4 linked regions of the Notamacropus eugenii genome follow. The protein of the gene in region 2 purifies or fractionates together with the protein of the main gene of each other region. This does not show direct contact. Links are inferred from orthologs where the notes say so. Each region holds a gene or a part of one and is shown on either strand. Other genes may lie near its edges. The genes, in order: EXOSC9, MPHOSPH6, EXOSC1 and ZFC3H1.

Region 1 (7,840 bases), on a different chromosome or scaffold from region 2:
GAATGACATAAATTTGGCTGAGAAGTCTAAAACGCACTGGAAGGAGGATTCTATAAATCCAAAGTGTCAGTTTACTCCTTCCTAACAACAAATGGGATGATGCCCCAAGTACACCCGCAAGCAACCTTTGGGAGAGATGGGAGAATTCCCCATGAAAAAATTGGATCGACTAAAGCTTTGGGAATGAAGGATGCATGTCAACTCCCCAAATCTACGACATTTCCCCTAGTGTTAACCATTGAAGGCATATTCTGTACCTTTTCACCAGCAACAACACAGAGAGATTCGGTGTCTATACACTTCGAATTTCTTAGACATCTTTCCAAAAGTCGATTCAACTTCACCAAGAGATCTGACTGCCTATGAATATAAGTATGGGCTGATGAGAGAGAGCCATCGAAACACAAACTCGCTGCTATAATGCATTTTCCTCTTCCAAAAAGCAGAGTAAATCCTTCTTAAGAAACAGAATCCAATACCTGCCAGGTTCAAAAGCAGGAGCAGCCATCTGAGAGAGTTCGAGGTTAAAGAAAAGAATACCTTCTGTTGCTCGATTGAGCTTAGGAGAAACAAGTTCACAGGAGACTTGCCCCAGAACTCTGCAAAAACAAAAAATAAACTTTGGTCAGTGAAACCTACACATTTTGTACAACTCATCTCAGTTGATTATTTTTTTTTTAAATATATTTTTTTAAATTGGATCTTCCTCTCTTGCCCAGACTGGATATGCGGGACATGAACCGACCCCTGAGTGACTGAGGAGCTCTGACACTGTTTCCTCCCTGGGCTGGTCTGTCCCTCCTGGGACTAAGGGGTTACCACATTAAAGTCAGATGGTACAAATGCCCAGCTGGCACAGCCCCATGCAGCTCAGAAGAGCTGCCAGCCTCAGCTAAACTTGAACCTCTGCTTACTGCCACCCTTCCACAACATCAGAGGACATTTTGTCCAGTCCTCTCATTTTACAGATGAGAAAAAGTGAGGGCCAGGCTGGTTTCACAGACTTTTCAAATGTCCAAAAAGCCGAGGCTATGAGGTACTTCTCAAGCTGATTTTTATTCTACTGAAACACAATGGGTAGCCTTTTTTTACCTTGTTTTCCCAAGTTCCACAATACAGCAGCCGTAGTCTGTTCCAAATGAAATTTTGATGTTTCTGTAGTCATAGGTCTGTCTACCATCAAGGCGCTTCAACAGAAAGACAAGTTTCATAGGTAGGGAGAAACTTCAGGAGGGTCAAACAGTTAAAGTGCTTTAACGTCTATTAACTAAACTGGTGAGTTCTAATTGACTTTGGTTTGCTGTTACTTTGTATCACAGCTCTTGTTGGTGTCGGCTCTTTACTAAGCGCAAACTTCACCTCTCCCTACGGCAGTACTAGGCTCAGAACACAATGGGAATCCTTTGAATGTGTCAGTGTCTGAAACCTCGGATGCTTTTTACTCGAATAAACCTCTCACAGGAGACTAGCGCAATAGTCGGACCAGTTTCTCCCCAAAGTCACAGAGTACGAGTAGGAATGAAGGGAATGTGGTGGCGGGTTCGGGGAGAGCATCTCCATCAGAGCCAGGCCCTGCCACGGATCACGGCCGAGCATGACCAAGTGGGGAGCCAGCGCCCGCGGGAGGCACGAGACGGCGGCATGCCCCGGATCCCTTAGTTCTGCGGGGCCGTCTTCCGCGGGGCGCTGCATGTACCCTCTTATCCGGTGCCTGAACACGCCTCGCCCGGCACCGCTCTATGCATTTATTCTCTGCTGTGGGCGCCTCCAAGGAGGAGTCTGCAGGCTCAGCAGCAGCTCTTTGTGACCTGTCCATAAGCTCGGGGTTGGTACCTTTAAGTAACACGGTTTATTTATCCGTATTTAATAGATACGTGCGAGGTACCAAGACTGCTAACGACTATTTATCTGAAATAACATATCCCAGCACCACCGACTCGCAGACCCCGGGGCCAGAAGGGGACGCCCCAGGGCGGGCCTGGAGCCAGCCCCGCCCACGCTGTCGTCACTCGGCCCCGGGGGCCGCCCGGACGCGCTGACGTCACTCGGCCCCGGGGGCCGCCCGGACGCGCTGACGTCACCACCACTTCCTCGTCCCTCCTGCCCCCGCCCTCTAGGCCCCGTTCGGGGGCGCCCCTCCTGCGGGCCGCCTTTCCGGATTCTTCGACGTTTACTTTGTATTTGACACTGCGGAGAGAGGCAGCCTGGCCGAGGGTCCGAGAGCGAGGGCAGGGTGGGGGCCGGGCACGTCCCTGCCCCTCTGGGGCTGCCAGCCCGCCCCGCCCTGCCCCGCCCGGGAAGACCCTACATGGCAGCAGCCACCGCCTCTGCCTCGGAGCTCCTAAGCATGGTCTGGGCCCGCCCCCTGGAGGGAGGGGCTTCCCATCCGCCGGAGGCGCGAGCGCGAGCCCGGGCTGCGCGCATGCGTGGGTGCTGTAAGCGGCCAGAAGCACGCATGCGCTCACGGTAGGGCAGGGTTCGGAAAAGCGGAAGCCCAGGCTCTCTGAGATTGAAGTTCAGAGCCCGTTTCCCATACGGCCAGACACCCGGAAGGAGGGGGAAAGACTGAGGACCGGGTACCCGGGAGACGCTCGTGACACTAGTAGGGCGGCCGCGGCCGGAGGCGCATGCGTTCCACCCTAGGCGCGCCAGGGAGGGGGCGGGGCGGGAGAATGACAGTTGCTCCGCCCCGCCCCCCGCCTCCAAACAGCGGGCTCAAGGCCGCGCTTGCGCGAGTTTCCTTCCCTACCTTCTTTTCCTCGATGGCTCGGAGCAGGAAGCGCCTCTCGCAGTTGGATAACGGTGTCTCCTTCATGGCAGCGCCGTTCGGGGGGAGCGCTGCGGCCCCGGAACCCGGAGGGAGGGAGGGGAATGGAAACGAGAAGCGCGCGCCGCTTCACGTGAAGCCCAGGCGTCTTCGGTGGCGCCGAAGATTGACGGCATCAGTACGCGGCCCGTGGAGGGCGGAGGGGAGAGCCGGGCGAGCGGCTGCCGCTCTGCTCATGCGCGAAGGGGCCGGGGCGGGGCGCCGTGGCGCTTCTGCGCAGGCGTCACGGCTCCGGTCTAAGGGCGGGGGGGAGGGGGAGGGGGCGGGAGGAGTCACCTGCGCGGTTCTGGGGCGCCAGACCGGGTGCCCACGTTACTGAGGACAACAGTGGACCAGAAGAGTTCTTGGGAGGCCCCCGGGATCGTGAACGCGCGTGCTCCCTTCAGCCCCCTCGTGGGACTTTGCCCCGGCCGCCCCGAGTATCCGCACACTCGTGTTTGTCGGTCGCGGGTGATCCTGGGTGATTGCACGTAGTGGGTGCTCAGCGGGCCTGCGGCATCTTCGAGCCCCCGCCCCGAGTGGGGGCTTCTCCAGGGAACGAGGACCTGGCCGAGGCCCCGAGCTCTGCCTGCCTCAGTGTCCTCATCTGTGCAGTGGGCTAGCCAAGGACCCCAGGCAAGAAGACCCCCTGCGGGGTCAGGACTGACAACATTCAGCAGCCCACGGGGAGGCAAGGCCAGACCCCACAGCAGGGCCTCCGATGGCGAATTCAGCCCCTGTGCCGCCGGGGCGGGGGGTGGTGGTCAGGGGGGAGTACTGCCGAAGTGACCACGGCTTTAGGAAGCGCTTCACCCCGGGAGGTCCGCTGCCCGGGTTCTCCAGCTCCCTGCCTCTGAGGAGGGAACTGGACAGCAGAAAAGGGGAGTGGCCCGCCCCTGGGGGTCAGATCCGGGCCGGGGGCCTCCTCCCCAGCTCTGGGCGGTGCTCCCGAACAGGGGAGGTTCTGGGGTGCCACCCATCCATCTAGGAAGATAGAGGAGCGGTTGGGGTGAAATGTGGCGAGAGCAGCATCTTCAGCGGAGGAGGGGGTGCTCAGGGAAGGGAGCCCCCGCAGTTGCGTAGTAAAGCTGGGAGCAGGCCAGACCTTGGCCTTGGGGAAGGTAAGGAATGGAGGGGCGGGGGGCGGCTGCAGGAGGCCAGAGCAGAGGCACAGAGGGCTCGTGACCCTGGGAGTTGTGGAGGGGCAGATTTGAGCCGTGCTCTCTGGGGTCCATATCCTCGTGCAGATGACTCACATCTATATACAGCCCCAGGGGCTTTGGTCCCACACGTCAAAAATGAACTCATTATCTCCTCCCTTCCCAAAATTAGAAAGCCAAAGAAAATAAGCCTTAATTCCATTTCTTTGCGGTGTTAGAATGAACTCTCCACAGAAGTCCCCAAGGGAAGAATATTGCCCCCAAAGACATAGGGAGTATTTAAGGTTACCTCTGCTGCAGCTACTAAGAGGCGGACAGTGAGGACGTTCGAACAGAAATGAGTCACAATTTATGTCCAATGTACAGTCAAATGCCAAAAAAAAAAAAGCGTTTCCTTTTTAGGCAGCATGTGAACTCCCGGGCTTGTTTCACAGCCCTAGTTTTCTAAATTGCTTATGCTATTTTCAAAATTGTTGGCTTAGTCTGTATTCCCTTCTGTTTGTGTCTGTGCATTTTAAAAAGTGTTTTAACAAACCCTCTTTTTTCCTCATTATTGCTAACTCCCCTCTCTCCCTCACACCCCCATTAGAAAACCGACAGAAAACAAGCAGAGACGTGTAACAAATAAGCTTAGTTAAGGAAAACAATTCCATACGGTGGTCATGTGAGTTTCATTCTTAGCCCTCTAGAAACATGATTGGTCGTTGCCTTGTCCAGAGTTGGCAAGATGTACAAGTTGTCTTAACCTCAGTCTCCCTTCTCTTTCCTCCTTGTGTCTGTGTCAGTGTTGACTTTGGTGCGTTTCCCCACTCGTAACTTGTAATTCATCTGAAGTGGTGCATCGAGTACTTGTTTCAAAGCCCTTATCCGGGAAGATACAGGAAATTCCCTCCTTTCCTTGGCCTTCACACATGGTCTCCATTTGTCTTCCTCTCTGTGCTTGGTTAGCCTAAGGTCCCTCACACTGTTGGCTGATTTGTGGGCCTCTGGGTGGGAAAAGGGAAAGGTCCACAGAGCAGAATTAGGAGATAGCGCCTTACTGTTTCTGATATACTTTCTCTAAATGTTCCTGTCTCTGGAATTTGAAAGGGGAGACAGGCAAGATGGAGGTTGTGGTGCTTTGGATTTAATCATGCAACCATTCTCTCCCTTCCCCTCCCCCTCCCCCTCCTCTTCTCCTCTCTCTCTCCTCTCTCTCTCTCTCTCCCTCTCTCTCTCTCTCTCTCTCCCTCTCCCTCTCCCTCTCCCTCTCTCTCCTTACTTTTTTCTTCCTAATTGGACCCCTCATCGGATGAATTGCTTTCAGTTTTGTTGTTCTTGGTGGCGGGAGGTGGAAGAAGCACTTCACAATCTGAAATACTACATAATGTTTACCTTAATTTCGCAAAAAACCCAACAAAGTAAAAGTTCATCAGATCATCCTCACATCTGCTTGCTTCAGGTTGCAGCTGTGCTGAGCTCTAGGTATCCTCTCTCATTGCTTGGCTAGTTGACCATGATGGGCAACTCAGGCCCTCTCTCCTTGCTGAATAGCCTTCTCCTGCCACGGCTAAGGAAAACTCCTTTTGTTGGCTGGTGAGGGAACTCTGAGTGTCTCACTTTGTTCCAGGTTTGAACATAAATTATAAGGCAAGTGACCAGAATCAGGTCCACCCTTAACAAGGTGTTAAAAGTTCAGAAAGGCTTGTTACAAAGGTTGCAAGGGAATAAAAACTATTGGATTTTTAATAGGGCAGTTCTAAGAGGTTAGAAGCAGCTATAATCTGCTTCAAAGAAAACCATCAGCTTGATATATAGGCTTGATGTATATAACACATTTAGTGTGAGGGTTTCTTCGGATTAGAAGAGTTTCTTCATTAACAACTTCAGTATGTAATCAATAATAAATAGATTCAGTGCCAAATAAGAGCTTGGTCCATCACTTCACCTCTACAGGTAGCAATTCCCAGCAGGACACTCATGTTACCGTTGTGTTCGTCCTTCCTTGCTGAAGAAGACCATGCCATCAGAGAAATGGTAGCATGACTTGCACTTGACTTTGTTTTGAGTGAGGGAGGGCTGTGCAGGTAACCAGCCTCACTTCTCCTCCAGAGCCATCTGGATCTAGTGACCAGATATTCATCAGGATGACTGGAGATGGCCCAGCATGCAGTGGGAGACCTTGGCCCCTTTAGGCCAAGGCCTACTCAGGGACTCACTTGGGGTGAGTGAATAGGCCTGTACACTCATGAGTCAGGCTATAGCACTCACCCCAGCCACTGGCCAAGAAAAAGGCCTCTCCTAAAACAAACCTCATAAAAATGGAAGCTCATCGAAATCGTGGGAAAGGGAACTCTTTTTTCCTGTCTTTACATCTTACACAGCATTTAATGGGTTAGAAGCCAGCCTAGTGATGTGAGATGGCCTACCTGGGAAGGACTTGTCTTTGACCTAAAAGAAAGTGGGTGCTGTTGTTGAATGCAGATGGAAGCATACTATTTTCACATTTTTTTTGTGTGGTTTTTTTTCACTTTTGGTCTGTTTCTTCTTTCACAACATGATCAATATGGAAATAGGTTTTACATAATTGCTCACATGTAACCTATATCAGATTGGTTATCATTTTAGGGAGAAGGGAGGGAGAGAGAAAATTTGGAACTTAAAATTTTTTTAAAAAGAATGTTAAAAATTGTCTTCATGTAATTGTAAGAAGTAAAATACTGTTTTTTAATAAAAGTAGGAGCCATGGAAAAGAAAGTAGTGACAGACTGATGAATACTGGACTGAACCAGGTCGCTGATTATCTATGCCCTCTCGATGTCATCTGGCATAGTTCTAGATTCAAGGTAAAGTAAAGAAACAAGCATTGATAAAGAACATGCTAAATTTTCTCAGTTTGTAAACATTAAGATCATTTACTTTCAAAACCCAAGAGAATCAACAAGAAATCAGTAAAGCAAACCACAGACTTTTAGCTTATTGAGGTAATTAGGGGCAATAGATGTTCAGCAAAACAGATAGGAAAATAAAGTAACCTGAATTTTTATTTAACAACAATAGAGCACTTGTTAAGTGCCTACTATATACCAGACCAAAAAACCAACCAAACTATTTTGTTGCAAATTCATTTTAAATGAAAACAAAACAGACTAAATCTGGAAATTAACCTACCAACACTCACCTTGAATTTCTAAAAATGCAAAACAATTTTTATAGAAATAAGGAAAGAACTAAACATGTATATTTATTCAATCTGCTTGACTCTATAGTCCTAATAAAGTAAAAATAACAATACTGCATTACCAACTATATTAGCATGTTTTACCAGTTGAAATACTAAAGGCATACTTAATAAAATTAACTTAGATGGTAACAATATATGAAAGAATAAAAAAATAAAAATGAATAATGAAAGAAAGAAATAAAGGTGGGGGATTCATACAGCCAACCCAAATCATGGCATAAACAGTAACTTCAAATTATTTCCAGCTACATAAAAAGTCTATGGTAATTCAATTTAATACATTAGATCAGAGAGAAGCAAATGTATACAGTAAGATATGTGAACTTGGGCAAGTCACCTGTTTGCCTCGCTTTCCTCAACTGTAAAATGGCACTGAGTCTTCCAGGGTTGCTGTGAAGATCTGATGAGATCACACTTGTAAAATGCTTAACACAGTGCCTAGCACAGAGTAGGCACTATAAATGATCATTTTTTTTTGATGATGATGATGTTCGATAAACCCAAGAATAAGAGTTAATTTTTCAACAAAAACAGCAGAGGAAAGTGAATATCCCCTGTATGAAGCATGAGCTATAGCTTTCCCCCAGGTACACCTACTCTGCATTGGCACTGGAGGCAGTAGGGTCAGCAGGAGCATGGCAGAGAATCTGG
Region 2 (7,714 bases):
GATTTGAAAATAAATAATACACTTTAAACATTCAATTCCATTTTATGGCCAAATAAAAAGGGAAAAAAAGACAAAGATAGGTGAGAGACACAAAGAGAGTGAGGAGAGATATACAAAAAGGCTCAGAATTCTCTTCCTTTCTTTCTGGAGCCTCTAATGGCTACAAATTACTCCTTAGATTAATTAAAACTCTGCCATGGATTTCAAAGCTAAACAATTATTATCTGGGTGCTGATTCCCAAATTTCTATTTTCAACTCCAATTCTTCTCTCTTGAATTTTCTGACCATTTCCAAACATCTTTGAAAAACCTCTAATAGTCAGATGTCCTGCAAGCATCTCAAACTTAAAAACAAGACTCATCTCCTACCACCACTATTCTCCACTCACATGGATCTTTTTGTCAATGGTATCCCCAGTTCTCCAAATGACCAAACCTCAGCATCAACTTTAATTCACAAATGACACTCCCTCACCATGCTAACTGTTCCTAAATCATGTCATTCTACTTTTCCAATCTCTCATTATCACCTCCTACTCACACAGCCCAAATCAATTGTGTGGATTTTTAAAAATTTTTCCTACCAATTCTCTCAGCCTCCAGCCTCTCCTTTCCAATTCAGTCTGAACCTTCATTCACTCATCTATCCCATATTCTTTTTATAGGTATACTATGTGCTAGGTACTATTCCAGATGCTAAGGATACAACGAAAAAATGAAATTCCCTCCCACCTAATTAATCTCTGCTTCCCAGCTTTGCTGACTTCCTCCAAGTACCAGCTAAAATCCCACCTTCTACAGAAAGTAAACCCCCGCCCTTGATTTTAGCATCTGTTTGCTTGTTGTCTCCTCCATCAGACGGTGAGCTTGAGGAAAAGGACTGTATTTTTTTTAACCGTAGGGCCTTAGCTCAGAGCCTCGTTTAATAGGAGCTTAATAAATATTTTATGTACTGGCTAACAACAACAAAAGGCCTCTGCCCTTAAGAAGCTTACATTATACTAGAAGCAAAAGAAAAAAACCCTAGAGGTGTAAGTAAATAGGAAATACAAAGTCTGTGTCTGTCTGTGTTCATCCTTCATTTTCGAAGAAGACCATGACATCAGAGAAATGATGACATGACTTGCACTTGACTTTGTTTTGAGTGAGGGAGGGCTGTGCAGGTCACCAGCCTCACTTCTGCTCCAGAGCCATCTGAATCCAGTGACCGGACATTCATCAGGATGACTGGAGATGACCCAGGATGCGGAGGAAGACCTTGAGACCTTTAGGCCAAAGTACTCACTTAGGGTGAGGTGGCTCCCATTCAGTGAATAGGCCTGTTTAAGAACTAGTCAGGGGATGGCTCCTTTAATGAGCCAAAGAAAGAATAACTAAATCAAGCTGGGAGGGAAACAGCAACAGTTATTACTGATAATCACTCTTAAGCCAGGAGGGTCCAGAACCTTAAAGGGGGAGGCTTGGGAATGGCTTTGCCCTCTGAGGTGATCATGTTTAACTTCAAGAGGAAACTGAGAATCAAATGAGAATACATGTAAAGCACTATAAATCAGTCATTATTAACAAAGTGCTTTACTTAGACTTCCAGTAGCCTTTACTTATCCTTCCAGTCATCCAGATTTGCAGAATTGGTGGAGAGCTTTGACTTGACATTCTTCAGCTCCCACCTCTACTTATTTGCCAAATCTACCCACACACACCTCCCATATTAGCTTCCTTCTCTCCATCCACACAGCCTTAGGCCCTCACCCCTCTCACTTGCACTTGTCTAATGTCTTCAAAATGGTTTTCCTTCAAGTCTCTCAACATTTCAGTCTATTCTTCACACAGCTGCCAAAGTGATTTTCCTACAGCCCAGGTTTGACTATGTCACTCCTCTACTTAACCTTGGTGGCTCCTTATTACTTGTGGGATAAAATGGCAACCTACCTGTTAGCATTTAAAGCCCTTCACAATGTGCCTCCAACCCTGCCCCGCCCCCCTTCCATGTTTATTCCCTACTAACCCTTTTCATGTACTCTACAGTTTAGTTAAATTGGCCTCCAGACTCTAGGCATTTTCCCTGATTGTCCTCATGCCTGGAATTCTCTTCCTTCTCATCTCCATCTCCTTGCCTCCCTTGATTCTTTCATCTTCAAGTTAAAACTCTATCTTCACAAGAAGCCTCTCTCCAACTTGGTTAATGCTAGGACATGCCTTCCCTCTCTGGATTATCTTCACATTTACCTACTAATCCTTCTTATAGTAGCTACCTCACAGAGTTGTTGTGAGCATTAAATGAGATAACCAAGCATTTATTAAGCACCTGCTACTAAGTACTGTAGATCCACAGCCCAAAGTGAAAGAGTCCCTGTCCTCAAAAAGCTTGTATCCTACCAGGGGAGACAACATGTACATGTACAGACATACAAAATGGAAGTAAGGTGACTCTGCATGGGAGAGTACTAGCATCTGGGGTTCATGTAGCAGGGAGCACTTCAACTGAGTCTGAGGATTTCTGAGAGGCAAAGATGAAGCTGGGAGATGTTCACAGCAAAGGGGTGAAGTGTGGAGACACAACATTTAAGTGCCTGCTGCATACCAAGCACTATACCAAGTGCGAGGTCTACAAAGAAAGGCACAACCCACTCCCTGCTCTCCAGGAGCTCCACTCTGATGGGAAAGACAGCAATGTGGACCATGTAAAAACAGTCCTCACAAAGCGATTTACGTAGCAGCGGGCCCAGATGGCAGAGGAACGTGCCCTTCTAAGATTTCTGACCACGTGACCCTGCTGCAGAAAACCTGCTAAGGTTCTTTGTTTTTTCTTATCGCTCGGTGAATAAGTCCGGCCCTCGGAGTCGGGCATCCAAAGCCCTACACGGTCCGGTCCCAGTTGTCCTCTGCCACCCCAGACCGAGGCCTCTGAGACTAGCCTCGGGGCCTCGCCGCCCTCGCGGACGTCGCCGCCTCGGCCTCCCTCTCTGCTCCCGCCGCCTCGGCCGCCCTCGGGGACGTCGCCGCCTCGGCCTCCCTCTCTGCTCCCGCAGCCTCGGCCGCCCTCGGGGACGTCGCCGCACTATCTTCCGCCGCGACGTCTCTTACCTTCATCCTCATGAGATTCTTTGACAGCTTGGGTTTACACGTGGCCTCCATGGCGCCTTCACTAGCTTTTCCCTTAAACAACTCGCGAAAGCTCCTGGAGAAACTCCGTCAGCGTCGCTTCTGCGGCGTCACGTCTGCTTACGTCACTGTCCGGCGCCGGTCTGCAGCGCGGGGGTCGGGGGGTGGGGCGAGTATTGGAGCGAAAGGCCTTCTTTGAGCCCTTTGGTGCGCCTGCGCAGAGTCCGGGGTGGAAGGCACCGGTGTCACGTCACCCTCCGGCTGTGGTTGCTAACTTCGGAGAGGGGGACAAAGATACCCAAGGTTTTCGGAGAAGGAAGAGGAAAGAAAACTACCGTGGATTACGTAGCTTAAACCGAAAGGGCGTTAGCAGTACCTAGCCCAACTCGTTTATTTACAAGATGAAGAGCCTGAGCCCCAGAGAGGTGAAGTAACTTCCCTGGCGTCGCCCAGGATTTCAGCCCAGCCGCCTTGACTTCACAGCCAGGGTTTTCCGTCGCATTTGGGGTCTGCCTTGGTCTCACGTGAAGTCAAGACCAGAAGGGGCTTTACGGGACTTTACCAGAGGGGAAACTGAGTCAGAAAGGGGAAGCGACCTGCCCAGAGTCATAAGGGTGCTGGGGGAAGGTCCAGAGAGAAGTAACTTCGTCCAGGGTCGCACAGTTTATGCATTATTCCAGTCTAGGTTCTCTGACTAGGGTAGGTGTGTCTTGGGCACTGTAGGAAGTACCAGCCCGGCTCTGGTGCCGTGGTCCATTTAGTAGTCCCCCTTTCCTGCAGGCACCGAGGGCCGTGCTGTGTGAGGGCCTGATTGTCCCCTAACAGCAGCTCTAAAAATCAATGGGCTATCCTCATCTTCTCTTACTGTCTCTTTTGGTGCTGTCATTCATCACTTTTGAATTCATTTTTGCCTTTCTTGTACCACCTCTTGATAGAAATGAGCTCCTCTCTCAATTTTTTGACTTCCTTTGTCCCTCTTTTCAACTACCTTCCTTTGTGTGATTCTCCCCACCTCCTTCTCTTTACCTTTCCTGATGTTTTTCTCTTTTTAAGGAGATAAGAGTATGGAAATGTAAATTTTAAGTGTTTGCTTTATTCGAACAAGTATACATTTTATTTATTTAGCCTAATAGAAGTTTTATATTATTAAACTGAAAACTCCTTTTTCTCTCTAATACAAAGTAAAATTGAAGTTTTAAAATTTTAGGGTTTTTTTGGGGGGGGCAGGTGTTAATGGACATTATTTTGAAAATGATCCTCACCCCCTGATGTATAGTTATTTAGAATTGTTAAAATACATATGTTTTACTGTGTGACAAAGTTGATCAGAGGAGCCTATGATTAAATGAGTCTGCCAGTACACTTGAAGAGATTACAGATGTAGATTTTTGCTGGAAAGGTTAGCTCCTATGGAAACCACATCTACCTTAGACCCTTGCTGAGGAGACACAGGTAACTTCTTTGATTGGTTTCTAGTGATTTTGGTTGCCTCCAAGAGGACTGCCAACTGAGAGTCAAAGAGGACAGACTTTTGTTAAGTTACCTGTTCTCTGTGGTATAAAAATGAACTGTGAAACAGTTTCCCCCTTTTTTTCTTTTCCTAGGCTTTATCTCCTTTAGGTTTCCGACTAGGGTGCAGCAAGGATTGTGGGGAATGGATTTTCTTCTGTCCCCTAAGGCTGAAGATGGAGACGTAGGAGAAGCACATGATGAGTAGCCTGTGTTTGGTTAGGTGAGTTTGAGAAGGTGGTACCTTAAATGATGTGGTTTAGGGGTACAGAGACCCCAAACTGCCTCGGTACAAGGCAGAGTCATCTAGAAAGAATTCTTTGACTCAAGCAGTCTTCTAGTCTCTTGGCAAAAAGTTTATTGTCAAGCTAATATAGGGTGCAGAGTTCCTTAAGGAACTTGCAGAATAAGTGGGTGGAGGCGATGCTAAAACCTCTATAGGAAAAACAGTGCTTTGTATGCCAAGTATGCTAATTAGGTGGTAAACATTCATTTTCTGTACCTTGGACTCAGGCATCATTCACTACTGGAAATTCTGGATGGGCAAGGGACTTGTAAGGAGTGTGTTTGTGGTTTGCTACATCTGTAACAAGATAGCCTCAGGAAATGACATCTATAGCTTGACCTCTGGATTGTATAGGGTAACTGTGGGAATCAGAACAAGATAGTTCTGTTGCTACAAGACAGTTCTGTTCATACAAGGGAAATTCCACAGAGGTCAGGTTGTTCTTGTAACAAGGAGAGATAGTTTGTTCCACTGCGGCCCGCTCATGAGTTATTGCCAGAGATGGGATCTTTGGGCTGGAGAGAGATGTGGTTTTAGGATTGGGTTCCAAGCTGAAGTACCCCATCAGTACCTCCAGGTCCTGACTGCCTTCTCTTAATTTCCTGTTTCCTTGAGCACAGGTCAGAGACTAGTAATGTTGAGAAGAGACATTTGCAACCTTGGTGATTGTGTCATGGGTAATTCTGAGTTTGAGAGCTCCCAGATTCTTGAGTCTGCAATAGATTGAATTCTTGAGATTGGCACTGGCTTCCAAGAAGGAAAAGATTTTAGAACTGTGTATAATTTTGGAGAAGAAAGAGGATAGTACTGTACCTGGAGGAATAAAGGCACATTCTTAGAGGTAGAGTAGTAGATAAAGTTCCTGCTAATTCTCCATGATATTTCTGTAAGCTACTCAGAAGATGCAGGTAAGTGGATGAGCAATGTTTGTTTTCCCAATCCCACAAAATGATTCGCTTTGGGATGCATAGGAATGTAGATTCTAAGGATCAATGGGTCATGTATATCATAAGGATTCTTGTGGGATATGAGAGAAATAATTATTAACAACCAATGAATTGGGGAAATCCAGAGTTACCCATTTTTCTGTAGTCCTCATTCAAAGTTCAGTCTCTTGAAGCACATTACTGATAATGCCCTTGAGTTCTCACCTTGATTTTGGTCAGACCCCACCCAAATTTACCAGAATTTAATAGAAGGTGGGGAAGTCCATTGTGTTCTTAGGTTTGGGTAAGGATAAATTCTTTGATTAGATGGCCTAAGGCTGCAAAGTGGCCTGGGTATGGAGGTGATTTCTTTGTCCAATAGTGACGTGACATTTTGGAAGCTAATCAAAGTATGAACAGTTTGTTGCTGACTTGGCGGGAAAGTTGAGCCAATACACAGTTGGCAACAGTGGAGCAGAAAGGAATGGGCAGCTTTCAGAGATTTGGTGTACAGCACTGCGTTTGCTTATCTGGGTCAGAACACTCACGAACACAAAGACTGGTTTGATTAAAATGATAGGGAAATACAGAAGCTGCTAAATGAAAAATGAGAAGTACACAGAATTTGCCAGCAGAATAGTTCATCAATCTCTAAGAAGGCAGCTTTTAATTCCATCAAAAGCAAAGTACAAGCAAAACTTAGAAAGATGTAGGATTCCTGGCTCAGTAAGAAGGCAGATGAAATTCAGTTTTATGCTGATAGGAACAATCCAAAGCACTTTTATGATTCCCTGAAAGCTATTTATGGACCAAAAACCTATGGTGCATCATAACTACTCAGTGCTGATGGAGCCACATTGGTTAGTGATAAGGACATGATCCTAGAGAGATGGACTGAACACTTCCATAGTATTCTCAACAGACCATCATCAATCAATGCTGAGGCCATTGACCATTTACTTCAGGTTGAAGTCAATCCCTCCTTAGCTGAACTGCCAACTGAAGAAGAGGTTTTGAGTGCCATTAGGCTCCTTTCATGTGGCAAAGCACCTGGTTCTGATTCTATTCCAGCTGAGATTTACAAGGTAGGGGGACCATTGCTCATACAAAAGCTGACTGAAATTTTCCAGGTTATAGGGCAAGAGGAGGTTATCCCCCATGAGTTCAAGAATGCCTCCGTTGTCCATCTCTTTAAAGGTAGGCTGATTCTTCACCTGGAAGATGGTCCTCTACCTGAGAGCCACTGTGGCTTCAGAAAGGTCTGAGGAACAGTTGATATGGTGTTTGCTGCCTGACTACTCTATTGGTTTCACAAATAAAGTTTGACTACTTTGAAAGAAGGTTTGAGCAGCTGAATTCTTTCAAGGCAGACCTCTATACCCCTACATTTTGGGGTTCCCAGTGCCACAAACCACAACAGGTTAATTTTATATCCTCCAACTTTGCTAAAGTTGTTAATTCTCTAGGATTCTCTTAAGAATAGCATCACAGCATCTGCAAAGAGTGATAGTTTTGTTTCCTCATTAATCTCTGGATTCTGTGCCTTTCTGTTTAGGCAGGCACTAAGATTCAGGTTCTCATCATCTCTCTGAGCGTTTTGTTAATGCAACAATGCAATATTATTTTATATATGGGACATTTCTTTTGACATTATCCTCTTTGGGATTATAAACCCAGTTGGGGTATTCCTGGGTCAAACACATGAAGAGTTAAGTAACTTGGAGCTATTTAGAATGAAAACTTGTTCTGCTGCTAGAAAAAGCTAGGGCTTTCATTTTGGGAAAAACAGTGAAAGGATTGGGGAGGGTGGGGCATGCTGGGAAACCCAAATGCTAATTAGTTGCTACAAACCAATGCTAATTAGTCCCCTGAAGAACTGCCCCAGGGGCCT
Region 3 (7,439 bases), about 330 Mb from region 2:
GTAAGAGCTAGTAATATGTTCAGGATGATGTGGGGGCTGTGAAGCTGGCTGACATGTTAGCAGGAGGTTCTAACAGCACAGATCAACCATGTTCAATTCACTAAAATGAATGAATCCCATCTTTCTACAGATTTTTCTAGTTCCAAGTGACCATATGGAGCTAGGAAGTGGATCTATTTGCTTTGGAATTAACCATTTCATTTGAATTCAGCTCATTTTCTCCCAGCGGGTAGAAATCACACCTGTTCATCTTAATCCATTTTACTCTTTAAGGAACAAAGTATCTATTTAGAAATCTACAGTGCCAGGACCTAGGATTTTGACCTAGCTAAAAGCTCCCATATCTGGCTTAGAGTGAGAACCCATACTTAAATTTGAAGAAATGTTACTAAGTATTCTAGAAAAATGTACCAAATTAGAAGACAGAGCAAATTGTTCCTCTCTGGTCAATAAACAAAAAATCCACAGGGAGAAAAGGACTTGGGGGGCAGTGTGGCAAGAGGGGAAATCATTGTAGTAGTAGAAAAATGACAACTTTAGTATCACCGGGGACTCTTTCTCTGATATATTTGTCCTCAAATATGGTCTTTGAAATTAATTACAATAACAGGAACTTTGAGATTCCATAGTTATTAAGTTTTTTTTAAAAAATCATTACCTTGTCTTTTTCAGTAGCTCGAACATCTTCCTTCCTGTAAGGAAATTAAAAAAAAAAAAAGATTCTTCAAGAGAAACAACGACTTGCTTTCTAGGACCAAGGCCAGAGTAGCTGCTGGAATTGGGACGAATCATATTTGTTAATTAGCTGCCATCCAGAGGCACAAGATGGAAACACATCCCAAGATTACATCTTGGGCTAAGACCTCTATCCTGTCACAAGAGGCCCACATAGAATAGCCAGCAATTGTTCCTAGGGATGGGTCTGGAGAGAAGGAAGTTTCAGGATAGCTAAGACATGCGAAGGTATAAGAAAACTTATTAGCCCCTCCTGGAAAGAAGTGGCAGAAAATGACTGCACAGCTATTCAGAATCCTAGGATGGAAGAGACTTTCAGAGATTGAAGAATAAATGATCTTACATCCATGAAAAATGATTTCTGTCCCCTTTTCAAGGGAAAACTCGGGAAAAAGAACCCTACCCAGTAATTTCCTCCATTTCTAATAATCACCAGGGTTGGCCTATACAACTGCAATTACATGTAATCTTTAGGAGAAATAGGGCCTAACAAACTTACAATCAACTCTGGATGAACACATATCACCCTGATGCCTGCTAAGCACATACTTCAGTCAAATTTACTACCCTAGTCCAAACTTTCTCTGTGAAACACAAGAGAGATCACAGAGAAAGGAAGGCAGAGATATTAAAGAAACATGATGGATGTAGATCTGTAATATTTTGTTTAAAATCCCAGACTGTTTTGAAGCAAAATAAATAAATTTAAAAGCTTCCCACCTGATAGTGCCTCTAAAGGAGTTCTTGAGTGGTGTGGATCCCACATACAATATATGTACTTTGGCAAATCGAGAATTAATGCTGGAGACCTGTGCCATAGAGAAGATAATGGATGGATTAAAAATATTAGCAGCTGTCAGATAAAGAAATCCTGGTGATATATGGCAGAGATTTCTAAATAAGTAATTAAGGGAAATAAATTCTACTCTTAACTATCCTATTAACTAGGTAACTCACTTAATCTCTGTTTCAGTTTTCTCAATAATTTAGGGAAATTTGCCCTATTTCAGAATATCACATGAAATAAAATGAAAGCATGTTGAGAAGTAAACAAATGTAAGGCATTCCAGCAGGTTCGAATCCTTGGACAATTGAGCCATCGGTCTTTTAGGACCTTAACGAATCAAGAATATAGACTTAAAAACCTGAAATTCTGTAAGCTGTCTTTTCATTTGCAAAATTAAGACTGGGACATTTGTATGAATTCAATGAGTTCTTGTGAAGACGGGAATAAGCATGCACAGAAAACGTTTTATAAAGTGCAAAATGTTGTATGGGGTGTTCCAAAAGTCTTAGTGAAGTTTTAAGTTATTAAATCTTAGACACGGGAACCTATTAAAGCTTAAAATTGCACTAAGCCTTTTGGAACATCCTGTAGAAATGTGAATTAGTACCACTGCTCCTCAGTCTCTTTCAACATTACAACACATACTGTTCTGCTGGGGCTATTTATGAAGATACTAACATTACTCTAGCTTTCATCCTGGAGAAACTTTAGTGACACAAAATTAACTCATAGTCTCTTTCCTTAAAAATGTCTAATGAGATCTGAAGTTCGCTAGAACCTCTGAACGGTGAGGATTTTTGCTTTCGTTTTTTTCTCCTAAAGAATAAATCCCCCAGCTTTTAGAATTCAGAACCGGGTACCCACCGAGTAGGAAAATGACATTCCCTGTAAAGTAGAAAGGGGTTTTTACAGTCTAAAAGGTCACACGATGGAACAACCAGCAGCCCTGACCACTACTGCAGCCGGCGGACGGAGGCAAAGCCCGGCGCCCTGGGCATGTGGGAGCTCGGAGGCGGGTGGGCATTACCGCACCTTGCACGTTACGATCGTTCCCACATCTGGCAGCAGCTGGGACTCGGTCTCTCTGGTCACTGACACCACCGGGAGCTGCAGAGGGGACGAAGAACAGGGGCCTGAGCTCTACTCGGTGCCAGGTCAAGGGGGCCACGGGGCGGATTCAGTGGGGCTAGAGGCCCTGGCTCCGTCCGGCGGCCGACCCCAGGCTTTGGGGACGCAAAGGCCTACGGGGCTCCCCGGCGCCCCGCGAGGCCCCGCAGGCCGGCCTCACCTCGCCGTTGTCGCTCGTCTTCACCAGGCAGCCGGAGAGCGAGGAGAAGATATAGCCGTGCCGGGTGTAGGTGCCGCTGCCGGGGCTGGCCTCCTCCAAGTTACACAGTCGTTCGCCTGCGGAGGACAAACGTGGTGTCCATCCCTCCCATCCGGGCCCTCAGCGGCAGCTCGCCGGGCCGGCAACCCTTCCTCGGGGCTCACTCACCTGGGACGCAGTACCGCATCGGCGGCGCCATAGCCATGATCTCCCAACAGCCATTGCGAGAGACCGATCGTCAATCCATTGGTCGAAACGAAGTTGAGGGCCCGAGTAACAGAACTGCCAATTGGCTGGCGTACCACGTGGCTTCTCCAGGGCCTCCTCAGAGATTTCCCTCTCCTCCCAGAACTTCAGCTCCCAGGGTACCTTGGGAGGAAGAAAAGAGGGCGGGCCGCCAGGCTGCCCACGCTTGCGCCGTAGGGGAGGCCGGGGTGGTAGCGGTCCTGGCGCCGCCGCAGGTGGGGACTGGGGATGGTGGCTCTGGCTGATTGGGGCCGGGGTCGGCTTCGGCCGAGGCTGCTGTGAGCCGTGAAGTCCTCGGGGCTGGACTGGGTCGTTGCCCGACAGACAGGAGGTAAGGCGACCTCCGGGGTCACAAGGTTCTATCTCCCACCTCTTTCCTTTCCCTCAGGATCTTGGGCCCCCAGCCGCGGGGGGCGTGGAAGTACGGGGCGTGAGAGGGGTCAGTGGCTGCGCCCGTGCGCCCTGGGCCGTTCCTGAGGCGGGGGCCGAGGAAGGGGGGCTTCGTCTTTCCCGGGATACCTCCAAGCCCTTGGGGAGGGGGTGGAGGGGCTTCTTTATGCTCACTGCCCCTCCCCCTCCGTGGTGGCTCTGCTTCCCTACCTGGCACTCGGGGCTGGCTGGGATGGGGCGGACCGAGCTCGGTGACGGGGTCACGTCGCTGCCTCCTTGTCTGTCCACCCGCGGGCCCCCTAGAAAGTTACTGACCTCTGCGGAGCCCCGTATTCGGAGGCAGAGCCCTGCATCCCCGAACGCTCTTTATCCAGTTATCCGCGGACCTGCCTTCAGGTCAAACGGGGAAGTTCGTCTCTGGGCTGGTGACCCTAGAATGGACAGATGGCGGGGCAACGCTTCCCTCCTCCATGCCTTTGCCCAAATGGAAACCTATCCAGCAAATGTAGAGGGGGAGATTAGATGGAGAACTGCAAGTTTAGGGGCTGAGACAGGATTGTGAGACAACTTCCTCAGGTTACAGTCTGTGGAGGAGTACTTCTGGTCACTCTGATGTTAGAGGAATGGAGAGTTTTAGGATAGTGCTGTTTAATCTGAATTTATTCCCTTTAGGAAAGTCATCTAGTGTTTTTTTTTAAAGTTATTTTAGTTATTTTATTTAGTTATTTAGTTTAGTATAAGCTATTTGTTATTATCTACCAATTAAAATGGTGTAGTGTATGTAACCCAAAATGGGATTTAAAATTTTTGCTTAGTTTCAAAATGCAGAGGATTTTTGTTGTAGTTTTTGCATTTGAATACGCCTGTCGGTTGTTCTGGAAATCCTTACTTTAAATCAAATGACTGTAGAGTCAGCTAATTAGTATTTTTAATTATTTTATTTTTATTTTATTAAACATTTATTTAAATATTTAATTATGTGCTGGGCACATGGGATCATGGATCTCCCATTCTAACGTAGGATCCCTGTAAACAACAAGGTATCCATAAGATTTAAACAGAGTAGATAGAAAAAAATCAGAGGGAAGGCAGTAATCGCAATAGGGGAACCAGGAAAGGTTTCCAAGAGAAGATGGGATTTGAGCTGAGTCTTGAGGGAGCTTCAAAGTTCCTGCATTTTCTATCCTACGATATTTTCTTCCTGATTGCCCTGATATCAGGGAGTTGGAGAGCTTCCTGATCCTGATGGACAGCATCACTTCTGACTGCTTTAAGGTTCTGGCCAGAGCAGTACTACTTGCTGGCTCTTTCCCTCTCTCTCCCCCCTCCCTCACCTTCTCCCTCTTTCTCCATTTCTCTCTTTCCTTCGTTATCTGTCAGGTGCAGGAATAGGAGATGGAATACCTGTGTTTAAAGGCTTTTCTTGGGTGGAAGGAAGGGACACTGATCCAGTTACTGAACTGAAACCATGCCTAGATATGCAGACCTCCTCCGGTTTCTTCTGGGTTTCAGACTTCATTCTAAATAATTAAGTTAACAGAGTTGAGAGCAGAGTAGCACCCTCCTGCCTCCCACATGACAAATCCGATAATCTGCTCTTCCATAAGAGATAGACTCATTCACAAAATTGGTGCAGGTATCCACAGAAGTCTGTAGCTGAAGATATTGGTTAGGTGTCTTTTCCTCTTCCATTGCTGTATTATTCCACAGCCAGAGAGAACGAAAATATTTGAAGATATTAAAGAATTTGGAGCGCTGGGGAGATAAGCTAAGAAGCAGGCCTGTGAGGGGAAATCACTGTAGAGAAGGCGTTTCTGCTTTGAACAAAGAGAGTGTGTGTGTGTGTGTGTGTGTGTGTGTGTGTGTGTGTGTGTGTGTGGTGGGGGGGCAGTTAAGAGGATCATTAGGTTGACTTCTAACTAATTCAGGAAAAGACTAAACTTCACAGGCCAGATTATGTTCTCAAGAAGGATCTGAGTCTGAGAAAAGGGACACAGGCAACCTTTAAATATGTGACATCCCCAGTAAATGTCACTTCTAGGGTGGAAGTGACAATATCCTACTACCCATATCTTGGTGGTTCCCTTAGCCTCTGAATAGGGAGATTAGAAAAGATGTCAAGATTTATGTCACAAAAGAGGCAGGAGAAAGAACACAGGACTTGAAATCCTAAGATCTGAACTTGAAGTCAGGCCATGCTACTTCCTGGTTGGGTGATCTTGGGGAAGTCCTTTTATCTCTGAGTCCTTTTCTTCATCTGTAAAATGGGGACAATCATTTTTATTCTCCATATCTCTTCGGGATTTTTGGAGAATCAAAGGAGATACAGCTTTGTAACCACAAAGTGCCATGAGTTGTTGTCCCAACATCATGTGATAGTTGGGACTGAGAATGGAAGGTGCAAAGCTTGGGAATTTTATGCTGCCAGGCTGAGGTCTCTGAGCCTGTAAGAGCAGTCCAGAAGATGAGAACTGATAGCTCTCTCCAAGGATATAGATGGCATCAAAGACCTTGGAACAGGATCCACTCCAGAATGCTTTCGTATACTGATGTGGCTAGTTTTAGCTAAAGAGTGGAAAGCATTAGAAGTGGGAGGTGAGTGGGAGGTGGGCAGGAGGGAGATCTAGGTGACAGGCAGCTTCCTCAACAGCTCTGCCATTGCAGAAGGCCACACGCTTTGTCACATTCTCTCCTTGCAGTGGTTTTGTTGTTCTTGCTGTTTAAGGTTTCCTCTGCCCTCTTGGTTCCTATTCTGTAGAGAAATCCAGAGGAAGACTTTGCTTGGTGCCAGTTATTTCTTTTGTCCCTCTTGATGCAAGAGGTGTCATTTAGTGGCGGGACTTACATCCTTCTTGTGTTAGTCTACTTCTTGTGTTAAGAGTAAGCATTGTGTAATGGAAAAACTGCTGGATTTAGATCTGGATTCACATCCTAACTTAGATGTGATTCTGGTCATGCTACTGTACCTTCCAGCCTGTTTAACTGGAAAGCAGGCATAATACTACTTTTATTACTTACCTCACATTTGGGAGGTTTACAATTTCAGTACTATTTGTTAAACATGTGAGCTCCTGTATTTGTATACTTAGTTAAGTTTGATTCTTCAAATCTAAGCTTAGCACCTCTATCCTGTGGTTGTTGGAATAAGTAAGTCATTAGGGGCAGGCTGAGTGTGACCTCAGAGAGCCCTTACTTGACTCACTTGTCTGGTGGGGCGCAGGAGTTTAGGTGTTCACCGCCTGTTTATCTTGCTGTAGGAGGCCATGCGAAGCCGCCGGTCCTTACTGCTGGGGCCAGCACGCCTATGCTTGCGTTTGCTTCTCCTCCTGGGCTACAGACGCAGATGCCCATCGTTACTTCGGAACCTTGTACTTCGTTGGCGCTATGGAAAAGTCTGTCTGCGCTCTCTGCTCTACAACTCCTTTGGGGGCAGTGACACTGCCATTGACTCTGCCTTTGAGCCTGTCTATTGGCTTGTGGACAATGTGATCCGCTGGTTTGGGGTGGTGAGTGTTGGCAGGATTATGTGGCTTGGGGTTAGCATGAGAGATGTGTGACTTTTGGGTGAAAGGATGGGGATAGGTGGCTTGATCTGAAGACTCCACAAAATACTTTACAAAACCAGGCTCTATTTGTTTTCCTCCTCTTGTACTGCCTTAGTTGTGGGGTGCCATCTTTCCATACTCCAGTCACAGATGAGTGTTGACTTCCTACTGTTGACAGGTCTTTGTGGCCCTGGTGATTGTACTGACGAGCTCCATTGTTGCTATTGCCTACCTGTGTGTCTTGCCCCTGATTCTCCATACTTACTCAGTGCCCCGAATCTGCTGGCACTTTGTCTACAGTCACTGGAACCTCATCCTTATCGTCTTCCACTACTACCAGGCCATCACCACACCTCCTGGATACCCACCCCAGGTAGGGCTCAGGGAAGGCACAGCAGGACACCAGGGT
Region 4 (8,201 bases), on a different chromosome or scaffold from region 2:
AGATAGTTCATAGTCTGGTTTTTGTTTTAGGTTTTGTTTTGCTTTTTAATTTTAAAAAGTAATAATGGACTTGGAAAAAGATATGAATAGGTAGTTTTCAGAGGAAGAAATTAAAAATATCTATAATTATGTAAAAAAATTTTCTAAATCACTGATTAGAGAAATGCAAATTAAAACAACTCTAAGGTACCACCTCACATCCATCAGATGAGGTAATATGACAAAAAAGAAAAATGATAAATGTCGGATATGTGGGAAAACTGTTAACTGTTTACGAAACTGTTAACTAAAAACTGTTAATTAAATGTTGATAAGAGTTGTGAACTGATCCAACCATTCTGAAGAGCAATGGAACTATGCCCAAGAGGCAACCAAACAGTGCAAACTCTTTGATTCAGTAGTATCACTGCTAGGTTTGTATTCCAAAGAGATCATAAAAACAGGAAAAGGACCCATATGCATACAAGTATTTATAGAAGCTCTTTTTGTGGTGGCAAAGAATTGGAAATTGAGGGAATGCCCATCAGCTGGGGAATGGCTGAACAAGCTGTGGAACATGAATGTAAAGGAATACAATTGTTCTATAAGAAATGATGAGCAGGCAGATTTCAGAAAAACCTGGAAAGACTTACACGAACTGATGCAGAATGAAATAAGCAGAACCAGGAGAACATTATACACAGCAACACTGGGTGATGACTAACTATGATAGACTTAGCTCTTCCTCAGCAATACAATGCTCTAAGATAATTCCAAAAGATTCGTGATGGAAAATGCTGTCTCCATTCAGAGAAAACTATGGAGTTTGAATGCAGATTGAAGCATACTATTTTCACTTTTTATTTCTTTCTCGTGGTTTTTCCCTTTTGTTCTGATTCTTCTTTCACAACAAAATCACTATGAGAAATATGCTTAACATGATTGTACATCTATAACCTGTATCAGATTGCTTGCTGTCTTGGGGAAGGGGAGGAAGAAAAATTCAGAACTCAAAATTTTACAAAAATAAATGTTGAAAACTATTTTTGTATGTAATTGGAAAAAGATAAAGTATGATTAAGGAGGGTAAAAAAAAGAGTAAAGGATGTAGAATCTGACCTAATTTCTAAATGAAAAAAATATTCATTTGCCACTTTCTGTGTAGCCTTAAACCAAGGGTTCTTAACCTGGAGCCAACGCTTTTGAAAAAATATTTTTGTAACAATTTCTACATAATTGGTTTCCTTTGCAATTATATGTATTTTGTTTTACAAATTTAAAAACATTATTCTGAGAAAGGGTCCAGAGGCTTCAATCAGAGCCCCAAGGAAAGTTAAGAACCCCTCTGAGGGGTTTGAACAAAGAGGCAAGTTTAGACTGGATTTAAGGAAAAATTTCCTAACAACGAGTTGATTCAAAATGGAATGGATTGCCAATGAAGACATGGCTTTCAAGCAAAGATCACGTTCTTTAGAAGAGATTCTAGTTTCTATTATCCTGTATATATAGCTTGGCTGCACATATTGGTTTGCTTGATGTTTCCACCTCTCCTGTTCACCCCCCCTCCCCCACTGTAAGCTCCTTGAGGGTTAGAGTGCCTAGCACATAGGAGGACCTAAATAAATATTTACAGACTGACTGAATATACAAGAGAACACCTTAGGGTCCCGGCAACTATGTTATTATATGACACTCTGAGCTTTAATCTTTCACCTCTATCTTTGCTCCCAAACTCCTCCCAGTTCTAAATCTTATGATTCTGTTTCCAAAGGATGAACACTAATTCTTAAGAACACCAGATTACTCACTCTATAATCACACAGGGTGGTACCTGAAGACAGTAATTTTTTTTAAAAAATAAGAATCAAAAGCTTAGCTTTCCATCCTAATCCCTCCCAAGACTTTAGTCGGTAGTCAAACTTACTAAAATAAGTCTCTCATCCATACTTACCCTAATAGGAAGATCTTCCTGTAACAAACAGCAAACACCAAAGGAAAAAAGTGAAAGCAGCTAGAACTACCAAGGAGACACAATTCTTAATAACAGGGGTTTCCCTGTAGCTCTTTGGGGAGCATTTTCCCCCTTCACTTTTAAAGGCAACAAGAAGAGAAAGCATTAAATAAAATTGCAACTTGGGTTCGACAAATGAACGGAGTAATGAGAAATTTTACAATTCTAAGGAGTTCAAATCAATTAAACCTGGTACAAAATTCCTATTTACTTACACGTGTGTATCGTACTCCTCCAAATACAAGTTCCTCCAGGGTACTGACGCACTCGAGCGGTTTGGAGTTTTGGGGGGTTTTGGCAGGGGGTTTTTTGTTTGATCTTTTCAATCCCAGTGCCCAGCACAGCCCGTGAGCGATTCCCGTTTGTGGAGGGCATTGTGAAAGTAGACAAGTCAATGAATATCCCGCAACAATAAAACACGGCATGGCTTATTACAGGGCTGCTCCTGGGCATTACTTTTCCCAAGCCCAGACTTCGGGATGCAGGGGGGGAAGGGTTGCGAAAAGAGCAGGAGAAGATCCCCAGAAGCCAACAGCCCCGACCACCCCCACGGAAAGGATACAGCTCTTGCGAGGAGAAGGCTCCCTCCAGCTCTGGCCGCCGCTGCCGAAGCCCGATCCCCCTCCTCCCGCCGGGGGCCTGCCGCCCGCCGGCTTGCCGCCCCGGTCGCTGCTGCTGCCTCGCCCGCGGCCCCAGCGGCCCCCGCCGCGGTAGGGCCGGCCTCGAAAGCGGAAACGGTCCAGGGCGATGTGGCTGCGTTCCCAGAAGGACTGCCGAGGGCTGCCCTCCGACAGCGAGGACGACGACGCCATCCGCATGGGGGGCGGGTGCGAGCGGAACGGCTCCTTAGGCCGGTAGCCGCCGCTGGGCCCGCGTAGAGGGCCACGCTCCGACGGGTGCCGCGAGCGAGACGAGAAACTCCTCGGCGGCGGCTGCGACGAGGCCGACGACGACGACGACGAGCCGCCGCCGCCGCCTCCGCCTCCGCCGCCCGAGCCGGAGCCACCGCCCCGGGGCGGGTGCGGAGGCCTCCGCCGCGGGTACGGCAACCCGCTGCCTCCGCCGCCGCCGCCGCCGCTGCTGCTGCTGCTGCTCCTGCTGCGGGCCTGGCTGTTGTCATCGTCGCTGATCTCCCCGTCTTCCAGCTCCCCTTCCTCCTTAGGCGAGAGGCCGCTGGTGGCCGGGGTCGCGGCGTCCGGGGCCGCCATCCACGGAGCAGCCTGGACTCACGCCGCACCCCCACCGTCGGGGCAGCCGCCACCCAAAAAGAAACAACTCACCTGCTTCTCTTTTCTTTCTTTCTTTCCTTCTTTCCTTCCTTCCTTCCTTCCTTCCTTCCTCACTCCCCGGGCTGGCCGGGCCTCACCCCTACCCCGAGGTGGACGCTTTTCTACACCGAGGGAGTGCCGTCCTCCAACTTCCCCCGCCACCGCCGGCCACCCAGCTCCTTCTGTGCCCCTTTCGAGATAGATTCCCGGATCTTCCGCCAGGGCCTCGCGAGAAAAGGCAAGCGAGGAAGGAGGCTGGAAGGAGGCAAACCGGAAGTGCCTTCCCGAGGCCGAGGCGACACGCGGTTCTGGATGGCTCACGCGGTGATCCATCGGGGCGCGCGGGGCATCATGGGAGGTGTAGTTTTTCTTTCTCTCCTTGCCCCTTCCCGTTATTCGCCCTTTTGCCGACACCCTCACAAACCCCCCCGCAGACCCTGAGTCGGTTCCCATTGGGCGAATCTCCTTAGTCTGCCCCGCTGGGGCGATTTTGGAAGCTACTCTTTCTGCCCGAGTTAAAAAAGAGGGGGAGGGGCAGAGGGGGGCGGTCGATGTGGAGGAAGGGCGCTGCCATCTTGGTGAAGGAAGACAAGGCTGCGTGAACTCAGGGACCGTCTGCCCTGCGGGTTCGAGGCCGCCATCTTATTAAAGGGAAAGAAAGCCCCTGTGGAGTAGGGACCTAGCCCCTTTCCCAAGCCTGCCGGGGATCCCCGGCGCTCCCTCCCGCCCGCGATTGGGCTCCGCGTCGGTCGGATGAGGGAAGTCAGAGAGATGCCGACCAACTGCGCCGCTGCGGGCTGTGCCGCGACCTACAACAAGCACATAAACGTCAGTTTCCACAGGTAACAGGTACCGGTCGGGAGGGACTGGGCGGCCAGAACCAGAACCGCCCGCCGCGGCTGTCTTGGATCCCGCCCGGCGCCACCCAGACTCGGGGTCGTAACGCGGCGTCCGTGGATAGATTTCAGGGAAACCGTGAGCTTCAGCGGGAGAAAAGTGTCATTTTCACAAGTTGAAATGTAGCATTTCTTTCAGTTGACAATGTTTTAAATACACTATTATGTGAAGGGATACCTAGCTTTACCAGCCCCGACACACGTGTGTGTGTGTGTGTGTGTGTGTGTGTGTGTGTGTGTGTGTGTGTGTGTGTGTGTGTGTGTGTGTGTGTGCGCGCGTGTGTGTGTGTGCGCGCGTGTGTGTGTGTGTGTGTGTGTGTGTGGAGTAGAAGAAAGAAAGAAAGGATGGTAGGAGGAAGAAAGGAAGAAGAAGAATACAGGAGCAGCCGAGCTTCTGGAAACTTAGGGCCAGGCAAAGAGAGGCATCTTTCAGCTTGGTTGGACCAAAGAAGTCGTCCCCATCTGGAAAAACAGTTACTGCCCTATTAAAATTGGGCAATGCCGCATTCCAGAATTGACATCAAAGTTGATTCTTCTGAGGGGTAGCGGCCAATGACAATCGTGGTATTGCTCTGAACTTTCTGTTTAACAGAAAACCTAAAGCAGGGCTTGGTGTCTGTTCTACCCTAGTATTAAGAAAGGCAGAGTTGTTTCTTTGCCAATTGCTTTAAAATAAAAATTCATCAGTTCTGCCGAAACTCCTGTATCTTCTTTATGCTTATTTTAAGTACTAAACTTTTTTATAGAAAGGCACTTTTAAAAGAACTGTGTACAGTTGGCCACTAAAAATATATATAACCTTTGAGGATATGTGTAATATAGTATGACACTTGGAGGGGGGGGCACTTTTTACTTTCCCCACTCTAACTGCTGAGTACCAGCTGTGGGACTTGTTTTCTAGTATCAACCGCTTTTTCGAGATGCTGGGTAGGGAGGAACTAAACCTGTGATTTTATTAGCATAGGGAACTCCCAGTGAATAAACGTCCTCCACCAAAGTAGATCAGCATTGGCAGATGCTGCAAATAATACAGCTAATAGTTTTGAAGGCATTGAGAAGTCAAGTAACTTGATACAGGGTCACATAGACGAGTATGTGTCAGAGGCAGAACTTGAAGTTGTCTTCCTGATTCTGATTGTGGCTGTCTATTCACTACACCAAGCTGCCTCTATTTTTTTAGTGAATAGGCCTGGAGTCAGGAACACCTGAATTTCAGTTCTTACTTACTAGCTATGTCACACTGGGTAAGTCACCCTGTTTGCCTCAGTTTCCTCATCTGTACAATGAACTGGAAATGGCAAACTACTCTAGTCTCTTTGCCAAGTAAACCCCAAATAGGATCACAAAGAATTGGATAGGACTGAAAAGACTGATCAACCATAACAAATGTTTAATAAAATTTGTTGAATTTATTGAAATGATTTTTGTTCAGATTAAATGTTTAAAGAGAATCCTAATTGGTTCATTCAAACTCCAGTGCTAGTCTTCAAAATTTCATTCTAATTCTCAGTGCTTAAATACTCTCTGGGAGAATGTGACTTAGTGAATTTAAGACAGTCTTTGCATTTGGAATACCTGGATTCAAGCTCTAGGCAACTCTCTAAAAAATAAATTGAAGGTAAATTGCTAATTTGTATTGTGGGAGTTTTCCACTGTAGGAGTTATTGCAACTGATGAAATCACAAGTCAGGAAACAATAACAAAAATATTCTCCATCAACATAGATAATCAAAAGATTTTGGGGAGGTTGGCAATGATCCAGACCTGTCACTTGCCCAGTACAGTAATCCCCTTGTAATTTTTAGTCTTAAAGAGTTGCCTGGAACCTCATGAGATTAAGTGACTTGCCTATGGTAACAGCTGATAAGTGACCAAGAGATAGAACTTGAACCAAGTTTTCCTTATTCTAAGGATAGTCATCCATCCATTATACTTCAGTGCCTCTCAATCTAAAAATTATCTTGGAATATCACTGACATGACCCATATGACTACGTTTAAGGAACACAGCCCAGGTCTGGGCTCTGTGATTTTAAGATAACCTTCAAAGACAAAGGTTTGGAAAATAATACACCTATGAGGAAAGGATGACTTATTTTTATAATAATATTATTTTTATAAATATTTGTCTTCAAGACTTGTTTGATGGGCTACGTACAGTCATGAAGAGGTCTTAGAAAATGACACTCAACATTCCCTTGTCTTTCCTAGGGAAGAGAAAAAATCATTTAGGGTTTATTGACACAATCAGGAAATAGTGGAATTAGGATCTTTGAAATCAGCCCACATTTTTGTCCTTGGATCTGATCCCTTAAAGGGGGAAATAGTTACGAAAGTGAAAATGCCTCTAAACTTTTTAATAACAAAGAACTACTTTTCATATCCCAGAAACCTTGAAATTTCCAAGAAAGTATAGCTACAAGAAGTGAAAGAACCTTTACCATTTTCCTTACTTCTTGCTAGGAAATATAGGCATAATGGAGGTCATGGTGATGACAGCTTTCCAGTGTGGATCTCTCCTCTTCATGATCTCTTAATATCTCCAATATTTTTTTGCTCCCCAAATAGAGCAGTTTCATTCTCATTCCTCTTCTAGCAAGTTCATAATGATTAACACTTCCATTAGAGGACACTCAAAGTAAATTTGAGATCAAATTGATCAAATCTAGTTGTTTACAGGATTTCCAGATCAATAATCTCTCCATTATCCTGTTGAGTTTTTTCTGAACAACGTAGAAACACAGGAAGACATTCCATATGTGTGTTCATCTATGTCAGTAAATTTTTAACTGAACTAAGAACAAGGTATTTATTGGAATTTAAAATCTAATTGGACCTATCAGTGATATTTCTACTGTTTCATGAGAACTGTGATTTCTATTGGGATGATCAGTAATGACAAAGTATTGATTTCAACACTTACATACAAATTAACTAGAAACTAAAATACAAATTTTAGAAATTGAGGTCATTTTACCTAAGTTTTCTTGACAAAATGAGTGTGTCCATTTTGCCTTTACCATTATGCCAGCAGCAGTAGATGGCATAGCTAAATTATTCTAATATAATAGTTCTATGCACTTGATAAATGAATATGATTAAAACAATTTTAGACTAGGAAAAAAATTCCCTTTTTCTGTACATCCTAGGGAATCTGTTGAGAAGGATGTATTCTTCCAAATCACAGAAATCACCTTAGTCACGCCTTCATAGATGTTGCTATTTATTCAATCTTATGAAAGTGAACATGAATTATTTTCATTAGAGTATGTAAATCACTTCAGTGTTAATATTTTTAGGCAAATATTTAAATGTAATCAACATTAAATCACTGTTTATTTTTAAATAATCTTTAACCACTAGGATTACCTGAAATGTTGTCATTTCTCCAAATCAGTTGGCATTTGAGATGTGTTTTGTTCCTTAGGTTTCCCTTAGACCCCCAAAGAAGAAAGGAATGGATTCGTCTGGTTAGGCGTAAAAATTTTGTGCCAGGGAAGCATACTTTTCTTTGCTCAAAACACTTTGAAGCCTCCTGTTTTGACCTAACGGGACAAACAAGACGACTTAAAATGGATGCCGTACCAACAATTTTTGATTTCTGTACTCATATAAAACCAATGGTAGGTGACACTACTTTCTCTTTTCCTTTTTCTGCCTCCCCCAACTCCTCATTTTTGTCATCTCTGACATTGACTGTCCTTTACATAAGAAAGCAAGACTACCTTGAATGCCACATACGATCAAAAAAGTTGTCCTTATTGTTCTTACTTGTCAAATGTCATTTTTAGAGATAGAAGAGAACTTGAAAATTTGACATCAGAGATGTCAAACACTAAAGGAGTAGAACTGCAACATTCCCCGGCTGAGGGAACCAAATTAAAATGCAATTGAGAAATATTTAACAAAATTAAAATACAATAGAACATAGATAATGTTAATATGTGATTTTCAAAGTGAAGTCCTGTTTAGTGGCTTCCATTTCTATTTGAGTTTGACCCCACTGACTAGACAAACTTCTTCATTTTATAAACAAGAATAAAGGGAC

The links.
Region 1: the proteins of MPHOSPH6 (region 2) and EXOSC9 purify together in Homo sapiens (affinity purification with mass spectrometry; 5 studies listed by BioGRID and IntAct, with this or other methods). This does not show direct contact. The link is inferred for Notamacropus eugenii from reciprocal best matches to the Homo sapiens genes MPHOSPH6 and EXOSC9.
Region 3: the proteins of MPHOSPH6 (region 2) and EXOSC1 purify together in Homo sapiens (affinity purification with mass spectrometry; 5 studies listed by BioGRID and IntAct, counting the BioPlex papers as one, with this or other methods). This does not show direct contact. The link is inferred for Notamacropus eugenii from reciprocal best matches to the Homo sapiens genes MPHOSPH6 and EXOSC1.
Region 4: the proteins of MPHOSPH6 (region 2) and ZFC3H1 purify together in Homo sapiens (affinity purification with mass spectrometry; 3 studies listed by BioGRID and IntAct, with this or other methods). This does not show direct contact. The link is inferred for Notamacropus eugenii from reciprocal best matches to the Homo sapiens genes MPHOSPH6 and ZFC3H1.

What each region holds. Positions count from the first base shown.
Region 1 is NC_092878.1:162,645,435-162,653,274, forward strand, and holds the start of EXOSC9 (exosome complex component RRP45), read right to left. Parts: upstream 3,041-7,840; 5' UTR 2,816-3,040; coding exon 2,750-2,815; intron 1,188-2,749; coding exon 1,093-1,187; intron 600-1,092; coding exon 480-599; intron 361-479; coding exon 258-360; intron 1-257. UniProt on the Homo sapiens protein: Non-catalytic component of the RNA exosome complex which has 3'->5' exoribonuclease activity and participates in a multitude of cellular RNA processing and degradation events.
Region 2 is NC_092872.1:543,300,942-543,308,655, forward strand, and holds the start of MPHOSPH6 (M-phase phosphoprotein 6), read right to left. Parts: upstream 3,296-7,714; 5' UTR 3,136-3,295; coding exon 3,085-3,135; intron 1-3,084. UniProt on the Homo sapiens protein: RNA-binding protein that associates with the RNA exosome complex. Involved in the 3'-processing of the 7S pre-RNA to the mature 5.8S rRNA and play a role in recruiting the RNA exosome complex to pre-rRNA; this function may include C1D.
Region 3 is NC_092872.1:214,259,549-214,266,987, forward strand, and holds the start of EXOSC1 (exosome complex component CSL4), read right to left. Parts: upstream 3,161-7,439; 5' UTR 3,055-3,160; coding exon 3,018-3,054; intron 2,927-3,017; coding exon 2,811-2,926; intron 2,630-2,810; coding exon 2,555-2,629; intron 1,545-2,554; coding exon 1,456-1,544; intron 693-1,455; coding exon 659-692; intron 1-658. Other genes in the region: palmitoyltransferase ZDHHC16, read left to right, coding at 6,749-6,991, 7,209-7,403. UniProt on the Homo sapiens protein: Non-catalytic component of the RNA exosome complex which has 3'->5' exoribonuclease activity and participates in a multitude of cellular RNA processing and degradation events.
Region 4 is NC_092874.1:249,496,355-249,504,555, forward strand, and holds the start of ZFC3H1 (zinc finger C3H1 domain-containing protein), read right to left. Parts: upstream 3,291-8,201; 5' UTR 3,199-3,290; coding exon 2,553-3,198; intron 1-2,552. Other genes in the region: THAP2 (THAP domain-containing protein 2), read left to right, coding at 4,012-4,100, 7,581-7,776. UniProt on the Homo sapiens protein: Subunit of the trimeric poly(A) tail exosome targeting (PAXT) complex, a complex that directs a subset of long and polyadenylated poly(A) RNAs for exosomal degradation. The RNA exosome is fundamental for the degradation of RNA in eukaryotic nuclei.